Kluyveromyces lactis: one gene and its partner. The protein of the gene in region 2 purifies or fractionates together with the protein of the main gene of each other region. This does not show direct contact. Links are inferred from orthologs where the notes say so. Each region holds a gene or a part of one and is shown on either strand. Other genes may lie near its edges.

Region 1 (6,078 bases), on a different chromosome or scaffold from region 2:
CACATCTGTGTTATTAGGAACGATTTTCAACATATGGACATTGACATCGTCAACTGAAGATTGTTCTTCATTCCCGGTTGGAGTGATGCTGGCCATAGATCTGATTCCACCAAGTGAAGTATTGTTCAAAGACATTATCATCGAAACATTCCACGGAACTTGAACTCTTGAGGAGACGCCGCTGGCAAGCGGCGTCAGGCATCTCAAGTTGAATTGCTTGAACATGATATTATATCCAGAGCACCTAACGAGATTCTTAGGGTAAACCGTCTAATACCAATATCTCCGCTTTGCTACTGCCCTTCACAGAAATAATAAAATAACTCTGATCTTAATAAGATTTGTTATAGATATATCCACCCTTATATATATCAATATCCATAGTTTAAAATGTTTAAGTCATTGCAATTACATTGTTCATTTTTGTTAATATCAAAATCTTTCAAGCGATCTCTAATTTCAAACAGCTTCAATACCATCAGAGGAATATCGTCAAATGGAATTTTTTGCAAGAAGTATCACTATGAACGTATTCTGAATTTACCCGGATTATATAATATTTGGTCACGTGATTCAGGAAATCTTTGTGTACTTATTTTGTGCCCTAATGGCAGACCAGTCTCTCATGGTTAGATTGACTATTCTTTCTGTTTTATGGTTTTTAGTTTAAATAACTGGAAAAGTGAAAAATTTTGAGGTAAGTTTCTATCTCATCACGAATACTTTATTATCCGTTACAAAGCTTTTAATTAGAGTTAGAGACATAACCAACAAGGATTCGATTTGTAGTGTATCAGGAACAGGAGTTCCTGTTCGCAACGTATTCTGTCTTTTTTACTGAACTCAAACGGAAATCAAATTCCTCTTCATGTCGGGAAATGAACAAGTAAAAGGAACGACGAAGATAATGACTGTCTGTATGGAAATACCATCATTTGGATTGTTTTTTTTTTGAGTATATCGATTATGATGACCGCTGTCGCCCCAAACGGATTTCGAAAATATGAACGATTCGACTAGCATTAGCCAAACACTGAAAATTCTGATCAATCGATTACTTTATTAAAATAAACTGTCCAGGCAATACAGTACAAGTTATATCTTCTTGTTTGTTTGACTTTCTTCATTTCCGGATATATTCGGGTAGTCGAAGTGTACGTTAGATGTGTCAGTGGATTACTCGGCATTCTCTATCTTAAATATATAGACCTATTAATGATGAACTAAAAGTTTCCATGCTAATCATGAATAAAATTCAAAATTTTAAAGGATTAGAAACACGCTTTTTGTTATCTCTAACAGTCCTGAATACGTTTATATATAGCATTAGCTGTTCCATTCTTGTACTTGTAACTTGTGCTTTTCGGTAGTGTGTGTTTTTTTATTTTTGGTGCCGGTATCTGAATTGTAAACACGTCTTGAAAAGATGTCAATAGAAATAAAAGTGTTATCTTAGGACTAAAAACGTAGGATCCTAGATTATACAGAGCTCTGAGACAGTGAACCACAAATCTAAACCGTTAGCGATACACACAGGGCCTTTCTGAAAGGGATTTCTTCTGCTTCTATTCCTCCTTTTTTTGTTACATTTTTTTGATTCCTTATTTATACGTGCATTCATGGACGCCGAATCTGTTGAACCCTTTCTGGTTTACCTACCGATCCCACAGAGAGTTGTTGTCCTTGTGTTATTAGGGTTATGGCTATGGACATGGTTCCTGAAGGTATCAGTATCCTACTACGACGTGTCCAAAGTAATTGTATCCAATGAGTCCACGGGACTACCTTACTTTAACACATCCACGAAAATACACCAATCAAGCCTGAAACTGTTCAAGTCAATCTCTAGAGTCATTATACCGTGGCAATTGGTATGTATAATCTTATTCCAATACTCCTTCACTAATAACGTATCCAACAAATTGCTTTGGTTTTTTTTGAATGTTTCACCACTACTGGAGTTGTTTTACATATTTGCAATGATATTAAGGTCATCAGCAATGGTCGCAAGGTGCTTTAAAAGAATACTTTGGGTAGCTGACATTGAACCAAAGCCGTATAGGAATAACTATATTATAATTAGTGATACTTTGACCTCGTACTCTAAGCCATTGGTGGATTTAGCTATTTATGCCACTTTCCTTTTCCATGATCCAACAAACGTCAAGTGTCAAGTGGAAAGATATGAAAATGCTATATCGTTAAACATTGACGTACTTGTTGGAGTCTTGCCCTCATTGGTCAGAATGATTCAATCGTTAAGAGAATTTACAAGAGGAAGGTCTCAGAAGAAAGATGGTTCACAATTGTTCAATGCTTTTAAGTATGCTGGTAATATTCCTATCATGCTAGTTACAGTCTATACAAGATATTACAACCTGGGCCCACTTGGAATGATGTATTGGTTCATGTTTTGGAATTCCGCGTATTCATTCTGGTGGGATGTGACCATGGATTGGAAACTAGAGCTGTTCGATTTTGTGAATGGGGACACTAGTGTCAATAACAATAATAGTAGTAACAAAGCGGACGGTCTTTTAAGAAGCATTTTGTTGTACCGGAAAAATGCGTGGTATTATAGCGCTATGGCGCTCGATTTTATTTTGAGATTCGTATGGTTCTGGGAGTATATCAGTGGGCACTCTGTATTTTATGGGGAATTAAACATCTTTTGGTTACAAATTTTAGAGATAATCAGAAGATGGATTTGGTTATTCTTTAAAGTCGAGGTAGAATACATTGCAACAACAGAGGGGGGGAAAATGGATGAATGAGATGTTTAGAAAGAGAGGAAGATAATAAATAAAAAAAAAAGGTTAATTACTTCCTACGTTTATTATTGTTGGCCTTTCTTTGATTTTGTCTTCTCTCGTTCTTGGTCAAGTATCTGAACTTCTTATTCTTTTTACTCTTATTACCAGATTTTTCTTCAACTCCCAAAAACTTTGCATATTTCTTCGCACGTTCGATGCTTTGATCTAAAATTTGTTCCGATTTCTCTAACTTCACATTATTTAATTCCGCAAGGTACTCAAAATTGTCATTGGGCTCTAAGGGTTCGATGTCTACCGTAGTATCATCTAAGTAAGTCTGTACATATTTCTTTAAGATCGGTTTCACACTAACAGAGTCAGAATCCTCTTCTTCTTCTTCAGTTGCATCTCCGTTATCATCGGAAAATCCCGTCCATTCTTCAGCCTCTTCATCGCTTCCCTGTTTCCCATTTTCGGCTTCTTCGTCGTCGTCCTCTACACCGACATAATCACCGACATCTTTCATCGCCTGTTTAAAATCTTCAAGCTGTTTCTCAAGAGCCTTTTTTTTATCTGCTCTGATCTTGGCCCTTTCCTCGAGCCTAGCTTTTCTCTCTTGCTCTTGGATGAACTCCTTGGCTTTCTTTTGTCTATCAAGCTTTCTCTTATGGAACCCAGTTAAGTATTCCAACCGTGAGTCCTTATCGAACTTTACCTCATCAGCACCGAATTTCTTAGCAGCTTTCTGCTTGTAAGATTTACCACCGGTAAGAATCTCACGATTACTCTTTGCCACCATTTTCACTCTATATCCACACTGCTACTCTGTATCTTCTGCAGAACTTGAACCGGTCTCAGCACCACCTCAGTAAGTGAAAAGCCTATCTGCTTTCTTCAGCTCATCGCATCAGCAAGTTTTTCCGTTTTAATGCTTTTTCCAAATATTGAAACTTCGAGATACAGAAAGAAATACATAGATAACTATAACATGATTGCATAAGGGCAATCTAGCCGTCCTGACCTAATTTATCTAGACCAATTCATATGCTCTGCCATGCACTAAGTAGAAAACAAATCTAGGCGTATACCTGTGTAGAGGATCATTACTTAACTATTCAATTTCTGTCATTCTGTGCTTTCCTATCTATGTCTTTCCCATAGCTTTAATTTTCGGGTTCTATGAAATTTCAGTTCCAAGTTGCAGTGAAAGAAAGATATTTATACTCACTATACAGATGCGCTGTCAAGATAGACACCGGAGGTACCATTCAGTAACATCAGTGGGATATACGATACGCGTGATTATTCATAGCAGCCATGACTATGCGTAACGAATTGATACAGTTTGTAGGACAAATTCCACCGGTGACCCGAGGAATATGTCTCTTAATGGTGTTAATATGTTTGATCCAACGCTTGAACGTATTACCGTACTATTTCAGCGATTTCAAATGGTCTTTACGTGGTGTATTGTTCAAGTTCCAAATCTGGAGGTTGTTCACTAGTTTCCTCATCTTACCAAACGATGCCATGAAAGCATGTTTCGACCTATACGCAGTATACTCGAAATCGTTACATCTCGAATTAGTGCACTTCAGCAACAAATCCATCGATTATTTGTTTTACATATGTTTCAACTTTGCATTGATCGTCGTGCTCGTAGAAGCATGCCAGATCTCATACCCAGTGTTCACTAACGCATTCATAGGAATGATCCTATATACGTGGACTCTGGACAACAGCAACGTGAAGGTAATGTTCTACGGATTATTCCCAATCTTGGGTAAATATCTATCGCTAGTGCATCTTTTCGTTTCGTTCTTATTTGATGACGGGACCGATGGTTACAGCAGGTTTTGCGTCACAATGGTCGGGTTTTGTGCTGGATACGTTTACTCCTGCCTAGACACATGGACTTACGGTCCCTTGTACGGTTATCTGATGGGGAAGGACCCAGCGTACGGATTCTCTGGAAGAGGTCATTTCAGATCACCAAGATGGTTCTCCTCGATCATTCTATGGATAGGACGTGTCCTATCCATCACCTCCAAACCCGTTTCGTCATCAAACAGGACAGACCCCGTGACCAGAAGAAGGTTGAGAACCCCGTTAAAGAAAAGCACTTTCGCTGGAACTGGAAATAGATTAGGGACCAAAATAGACTGATTAAGGTACTAATAATCCGACATACTGTTATCTATATTATCTACATCTCCCTTGTGTATATATCATTTGTGTTATTTTATTTACCCCAGGTTTAATGGAAATATGTCGACAATGGAAAATTGATTTTGTATGATGGTTCTGCCTAAAAGCCCGTTATGGCGAGAAAATAGTTGATGATCAAAAAGTGTTGGAGCAAACGAATGACCACAGGGACCAAGAGTGGAGGTGAAGCACGTCTTGGGTACAGGATTGCAGAGAGTTACTGGTACAGGTTCGTTGATGATCACTCGGTTCGGACGTATATAACGGAATGGGCTCTTGTGTAATGAATGATCAGCAATTCGGATTTCTCGAGTTTCAGCCTTTTATGAATAAAACCATGTACAAATGAGCTAGTATTATTTAGTATATATATAGCTGCATTTCAGAAGTTAAGGACACCTTTCGCTTTTAATAGGTTTGTTCCGAAAATGGTTTCCTTGCCGGTTTAAACAACCAAAATCATCCTCAAGAAAGCGGAACACGATATAGAATAAAAGGTTTCAATTGTTGTGATATTTATTTTATTTATTAGTTAAATACCCGTTGTGAATACCAACACCAACAGTGACGATGAGAAGTATGGCATTTAGAAGCAGTGCTGGTATTAGTATGGGGATGAGACGCATGGGTCAAGGTAACAAGAAAAGTTCTATATTGAGACAGATGTCTGGTAAGATGCAGTATTCGGGGTATCAGAAGTTCCCTTTTGAGACCGGGACTAACGATGAGTATATTGCAGAAAGACCTAATTCGTATTATCAGGAGAAGAGACCTGGGTTCAAAGGAGCCACTTACTCAAAACAACAGGATATGCCATCCTTACCGATTCCGGAGTTGAAATCGACTTTGGACAAATATTTGAAGTCTATTAAACCGTTTTGTCAGACGGATGCTGAATATGAGAAACAGATCCAGTTATGTTACTCATTTCTTTCAGACCAAGGCCCTGCTTTGCAGGAGCGGTTGTTGAGTTATTCTCAGGAGCGGAGAAACTGGATGCAAGAACTATGGGATAGTCAGATTTATCTTGGCGATAGGTCACCTGTGGTTCCTTTTGTGTCATATTTTTATGGTCATAAGCCTTTACCAACTAGTCACCGTGCCATCGATGGCGACA
Region 2 (5,884 bases):
GCTTTTTACATAGAGAAAAAATCGATTCCCAAAATTTTCAAGCCGTTTTTTTTTTTCCCTTTCGCTGTCTGTGAGCATTTCTCTGCTAAGTTTTCTGTCCAATCCAATGATAATTGTTTGTGATTGATTATGTTTAAAGTATTTTTTTTTATTTTTCGAAAGCGATGTTTTTCTGAAGGTTTTCTATCCTAAGCGCACTGGAGGATGCGTGTTAAGGGCGATATTCCCGACGAAAAGTCACTAAGTACGGGAAAATATCCATATGTGCGGAGGTTTATGAGAAGACGGCACGTTCTTCGATGTGATTGGTCAGAACTCCATATCCCAAAAACATCAATGTCATTCACGTGACTGGGACTTGTCACGTGAATGTTTTCCTTCTGGGAAAACGTAAAACGTCTTTCCATTCATATCCATATGGCAAAAGCCATTCAAGAAAGAGTAAGTACATGCTAACGCCTAGAATAGAATTGACCATTCTGGTCTTAGTTAATCGGCTAGAAGGAAACAGCTCAAGAACAATGGAAGATGTTAGGTACGGGTTTCTCAGTACACTGGACCATTTACCATGCGATGTGATTCGCACCCTCTGGACTATACAATCATTGGATATAGGTGATACTAATAGAGATGGATGTCATTCAGAAGAGATGCTGCGACAAGCGCAACATCTCTTAGAGTTAGTACGGCAAGAACATTCACGGCTCAATTTTGAAAAACAAGAATTGGAGCGATTCTCTCAGATTAAGGCAAGGTACGATAGTCACTTGAAGAAACAACCGAAATTGAAACCTTTGCCTCATCACAAACCGATCAAGATTAAGATCACTATGAAATCAAGGTACCCAGAGGCAGAAAGGGAACAGAAACTGATTCAGCAAGAACATGTGAATCATGATAAGACGCACAAGCCAGAGACAGAGACGTACTGTTTCTGTAGAGATGTGTCGTATGGACCCATGGTTGCTTGTGATAATGAATCTTGTGCCATCGAATGGTTCCATTACCCCTGTGTAGGATTATCAGCCGCACCCAAACCCAATGAGAAATGGTTTTGTAGTGACATGTGTAGGAAACAGTACTCCAATCATCGGAAAAAGAGCAAGAGAAGAAAGCGTTGATGAAGACCGCGGAGGCTCTTCAGTGCTTCTCCAGAAAAATAACTTGCAAGAAGGAAGCGCGTGTAATTATTATTTATTCAAATGCTAATATTTTCATATTTAAAGATAGTTGTCAAAACAACAGGAAATATTATGAACCAGCCGATGGGATAGTGAAAGAAAGTGTAAACACTTTCTTGAGTACTCCAAAACTAGTCTATAAAATTACAGCATGCAAAGCTTTTTACTCAATTCGACTCTATTAGAGTTGAGGAGTTTATAAGTCCTTCTTCAAAGTACCCAAGAAAGCGTGCTTTTCAGCTGGGGTTTGGAATCTACCCTTACCGAACTTAGAAGCAGTGTCGATCCACTTCAAGGTAACTTCTTCCAAGGCCTTTCTGGAGGTGTTGGTGTACAAGGACTTTCTTAAAGTAACAACTCTCTTTCTGGTACCTGGGATAGAACCCTTCAAGATAACGAAATCATTGTTGATAGCACCGTAGTGGACGAAACCACCCATTGGGGTGATGGTCTTCTTGGTTCTGTCGAATTCGGTAGCGGCGTTAGCTTCGTCGTCACCCTTACCAACTCTGTAGACCTTGTGGTTAATAGAGGTTCTGTGGTGGTAACCTCTTTGACCAGCTCTAGCAACGGACCACATAACGTGGGCTGGATGCCAAGCACCGATACAAGCAACCTTTCTCAAACCTCTGTGGGTCTTTCTTGGAAGCTTCTTGGTACCCCATCTGTGGGTAACACCTTCGAAACCGTGACCCTTGGTAACGGCAACGACATCGATCATTTCGTTTTGTTCGAAGACAGAGTCAACGGCAACGGTCTTTTCGAAGTGTTCCTTAGCCCAGTCAACCTTGTCAGAGACAGAACCACCGTTCAATTGGATTTCAGCCAAATGAGCCTTCTTTTGAGACAATGGAGTCTTTCTGACTTGGGTGTGGACCAAGACTCTAACAACAGAAGCGTACTTCTTGATTCTGGCCAATTCTCTGTCGACTTGGGCACCGTTTTCAGCGTACTTAGCAGAGTACTTGGTGAAAGCCTTCTTCTTGGACTTGTACCAGTTCTTGTAGAATCTTCTCTTGACTTCGTCGGACAAATGTTCAGCCCAGACGGTGGTCAAGGATCTCAAACCTCTTGGGGTTTCAACGTAACCAACAACACCGACAACAACGATTGGTGGGGTGTCAACAACGGTAACAGCTTCAACAACTTCACGCTTGTGGAACTTGGAACCTGGTCTGTCCAAGTCTCTAACGATAGTGGACATACCAGCCTTGTAACCCAAGAAAGAGGTCAAAGCAACTGGCTTAGTTTGGTCGTCCTTTGGGAAAGACTTAACTCTACCTCTAACAGAGGCAGCTCTCTTTCTTGGCAAGAAACCTAAATGACCGTGACGTGGAGCTTCGTACTTTCTGTGAGACATTGTGTATTAATATTAACTAGCTAGAGCTGTGGTTACCGTTCTAGAGTTTTGCGATGGGGAAGGGAAATAAACAAAGTAGATACCATTAAACACTTTCAACTTTACATATGATGAGATGAAGAACTATTAAAAATTTTTCACTTGATTTTTTCATGTTTTTTAAATAGTCCAAGCTTCGATGCGATGAGATGTGAAAAAAATTTTTTTCTTCAAGATCGCTTGGAGATGAGAGACGAGAAAGTTCGTGAAAGGTGATTTAAATAGGAGAAAGTACTATCATTAGATACGTCCATAGGTAAAAATACAAAAATCACAGAAAGACGGGGTAACAGTGCATATAGAATCCGCCCACGTGACTTGTTCTTTTTTTTCTGTTTTTCCCCTCTGAAACGCAGTTTACCCCCCATTTATCGGTTCGCCTTTGGTCCTGACGAAATGACGGCGGGAGGCACCTATCTTTTTCAAATGGTAAACAAATGACACAACGATGGAGCCAACAAGTATTAAACAAAAATGCACGGAAAAGAAGAAAACCACAGTGAAACTACATTCAACTGTTATCAATCACTAACGACAACAACAAAAACAGAGACGTGTGCAGATCAACACGATTTATTACCACTACGTAATGTGACGAACTGAGATCTCCAAAAAGTCTCACCATCAAGTTGTTCCTCACACCATTCGGAAAAACCTTACGAGACGAATCCCGGAAAAACAACACTGCCGTTTTTCCCGCTTCTTCCTACGACACCCACTGCGCACCTCCGCTAGAGCTGGATACTCAAGCTGTTTTATTTCTGTCAAATCTCCTTCTCCAACCAGTCGGAAAAACTTTTCTGGCTCCCCATCGAAACAACAGGTCGCCCCGTACAGATCTTTCCGAAAGGAAAAGCAATAAGCGAAGAAAAAGAAAACACACCCGGGCATCAGCCCGGGTAATACATAGGTCTCGTAGATGTTTTTCTTCTTGTCCCCCCTTGTGATTCTAAGAGAACCATAGAAAGAAAAAACAATTTTATGATTTTTTCGGATTCCCGCCCCACTATTCTTTGGAAAAATAACCGTTTTCTACTGCACATTCTAGCTGCGGAAAGGAGAACCACTTTTCCGAGCAACCTCTTTTGGCTGTTTTTCTCTTTTTCTGCAAATAATTACAGTGAAAGCTCCATATTGTTTTTCTTTTAGATTCAGGTAACCAACCACTGGGAAAAGTACCGGGGTCTGGTTGGAATCTCAGTTGGATGACTCTGAATTGACACTGCTGACACGCTTGGAAATATAGTATTGTAGCTCTATTGTCTGTGGTACCTTAGATAAATCGGAGTGGGTTCACCTTTCCGGTCCAAATTGTTCGACCACAAGAAACGGTGCACCGGCGTGTTAAATACCGGGTTCTTGAAATTCATATATTGCGAGTTTTCCATGCTTCCTGGTGTCTCTTTATCTGAATATTATATTCTTTCTGAAAAGATTTGTAAATTATATAACGGTTGAACAAACTACAAAAGAAATAGTAGTTATTGTTCAAAGGTCGAAGGCTTTTTTATATATAAGAGCACCATAAGTGTATCTTTGTTCAATTAATCCGTTTGTTGATTTACTTCTTCTACCATCTAATATATTTCTTATCTGCAAGGTGATAGTAACGACTCACATCTAACATATCCTTTACAATGATATCCAATAGTTTGGACGATACGATTATTATCCGGAAAAACCTTTTGCTGCTAGATAATGTTACGAATTTGAATAAGCCAGCTATCGATTATTTCCATCACAATTTCCAAGAAACTTATGCTATCTGTGAGACTTGGAAAGTTTTATTGAAAGTCGGTAAACATAAAGTGCTCAGGTTGCCTAGTTGTTCCCAGGAAGATGAATCTGATTATAACTACTATTTGAAAAGACTACACCATTGTCTATGGAGGCGTTGGTCGATGGAGAACTTCCAGTTGAACGGTAATGAAAACAAGTACGATCCTTTACGTATTAACTGGAATAAGGAAAATGATATGACTGTACTATATGGGCCTCAGTTATCGGATGATTGTGTTGCTGCTACTCAGTTGATTCCTAAGAAGAAATCGTCACCCGATTCTATGTTCTCTGCTATGGACATGGACTCCGACTTGGAGTCTTATTCTCAATCGTATAACAATTACTCTTCTTCCCCAACCAATTCAGATGCTTCATCCATCTTTGAAAATAGCAAGCCTATTTTGGTAAAGACTAATTCTTCTGGCTTCGGTTCTCCACCCTCCCACCACTCGAACAATAAGAACATAAGGTTCGATGATAGTGTTCGCACAAGAGAGATCGATCATAGTGGTGTCATTTATGATGGAACTAGTGCCATCAACGATACATGGGCCAACGAAATGATTATGAGGCAGGATTGCTTCATTCTTGATGTCCACGACAGTGACGAGGAAAACGATGAAGATTACGAAATGGAACTGTAATCTGACTCGCCCAAGAAATCTGACCTCTTAAAAAATCCCATCCACTAACACAGCATACTACACGAAATCCGTCAAAGGTCTGGGATCTTTACGCATTTGATACCAAAAGATTGTTTTTTTCCCTGTGATTGAGAAATATAGACTAATAATAATGGCATTTTCAATTCTCATCACTGAACTTTCACCGCAATAATAGTTTCGATCATGGGTTTTTGTAACTATTTCCACCCTGTTTCATATTCCTTTGGTCTATTTCCTTTCCTACTTATAGTAGTGTCTCTCTCTCTGCGCCTGCGCTAGTAAGAGCCTTTTCTTTCAGGTTTGGTAGCTATTACACCTATTAATTATATATCCTTTTTAATGAATTAACGACTATCATAATATTACATCTTCTTTAAATCTTAAGCAAAAGAGACATGTGTTTCTGTCCTCTTTTTCAGGTGTTGTATTAATTATATGTTATTAGTATACATGCTTTTAATTGGAAAGCAATCAAAGACAGAAGAAGAATCCCCCAAAGTTAACCATAAATGGAAGATAAGAGGGAAAAGAAAATTTGATGATAGAGAGATGAGAAAACAGATATATATTACCGTTTAGGCATACACTATGAGAAATCTTTTTTGAAGAATTTATGCTCCATGGCTTCTTTTGCAGTTAATCTCTCTTGGTGATCATAACGTAGTAAATGGTCGATCAAATCAATTATTTCGTCCACAGCCAACGGCGTCTTATCATTGGCGAAATAGCTCCATGGTTTCCGTTCGTAGTTCTTCATGATATCGTTGTATTCTGCAGGAAGATCCAATCCGTAATGTTTCAAGTAATAGAATAACTCCTGCGTACCAAGTACCTTGGCAATTTTCACCAATTGATCT

Evidence for each region. Proteins that work in one complex are often made in the same cells at the same time.
Region 1: the proteins of RPL3 (region 2) and RRP17 purify together in Saccharomyces cerevisiae (affinity purification with mass spectrometry; 3 studies listed by BioGRID). This does not show direct contact. The link is inferred for Kluyveromyces lactis from reciprocal best matches to the Saccharomyces cerevisiae genes RPL3 and RRP17.

Annotation. Positions count from the first base shown.
Region 1 is NC_006037.1:184,601-190,678, forward strand, and holds RRP17 (rRNA-processing protein RRP17), read right to left. Parts: upstream 3,553-6,078; coding exon 2,821-3,552; downstream 1-2,820. Other genes in the region: RML2 (mitochondrial 54S ribosomal protein uL2m), read right to left, coding at 1-225; ERD1 (Erd1p), read left to right, coding at 1,620-2,774; DFM1 (Dfm1p), read left to right, coding at 4,071-4,919; carnitine O-acetyltransferase CAT2, read left to right, coding at 5,532-6,078. UniProt on the Saccharomyces cerevisiae protein: Essential protein involved in ribosomal RNA processing.
Region 2 is NC_006042.1:1,520,552-1,526,435, reverse strand, and holds RPL3 (60S ribosomal protein uL3), read right to left. Parts: upstream 2,542-5,884; coding exon 1,378-2,541; downstream 1-1,377. Other genes in the region: YNG1 (Yng1p), read left to right, coding at 450-1,121; KLLA0_F16489g (uncharacterized protein), read left to right, coding at 4,218-5,006; casein kinase 2 catalytic subunit CKA2, read right to left, coding at 5,614-5,884. UniProt on the Saccharomyces cerevisiae protein: Component of the ribosome, a large ribonucleoprotein complex responsible for the synthesis of proteins in the cell.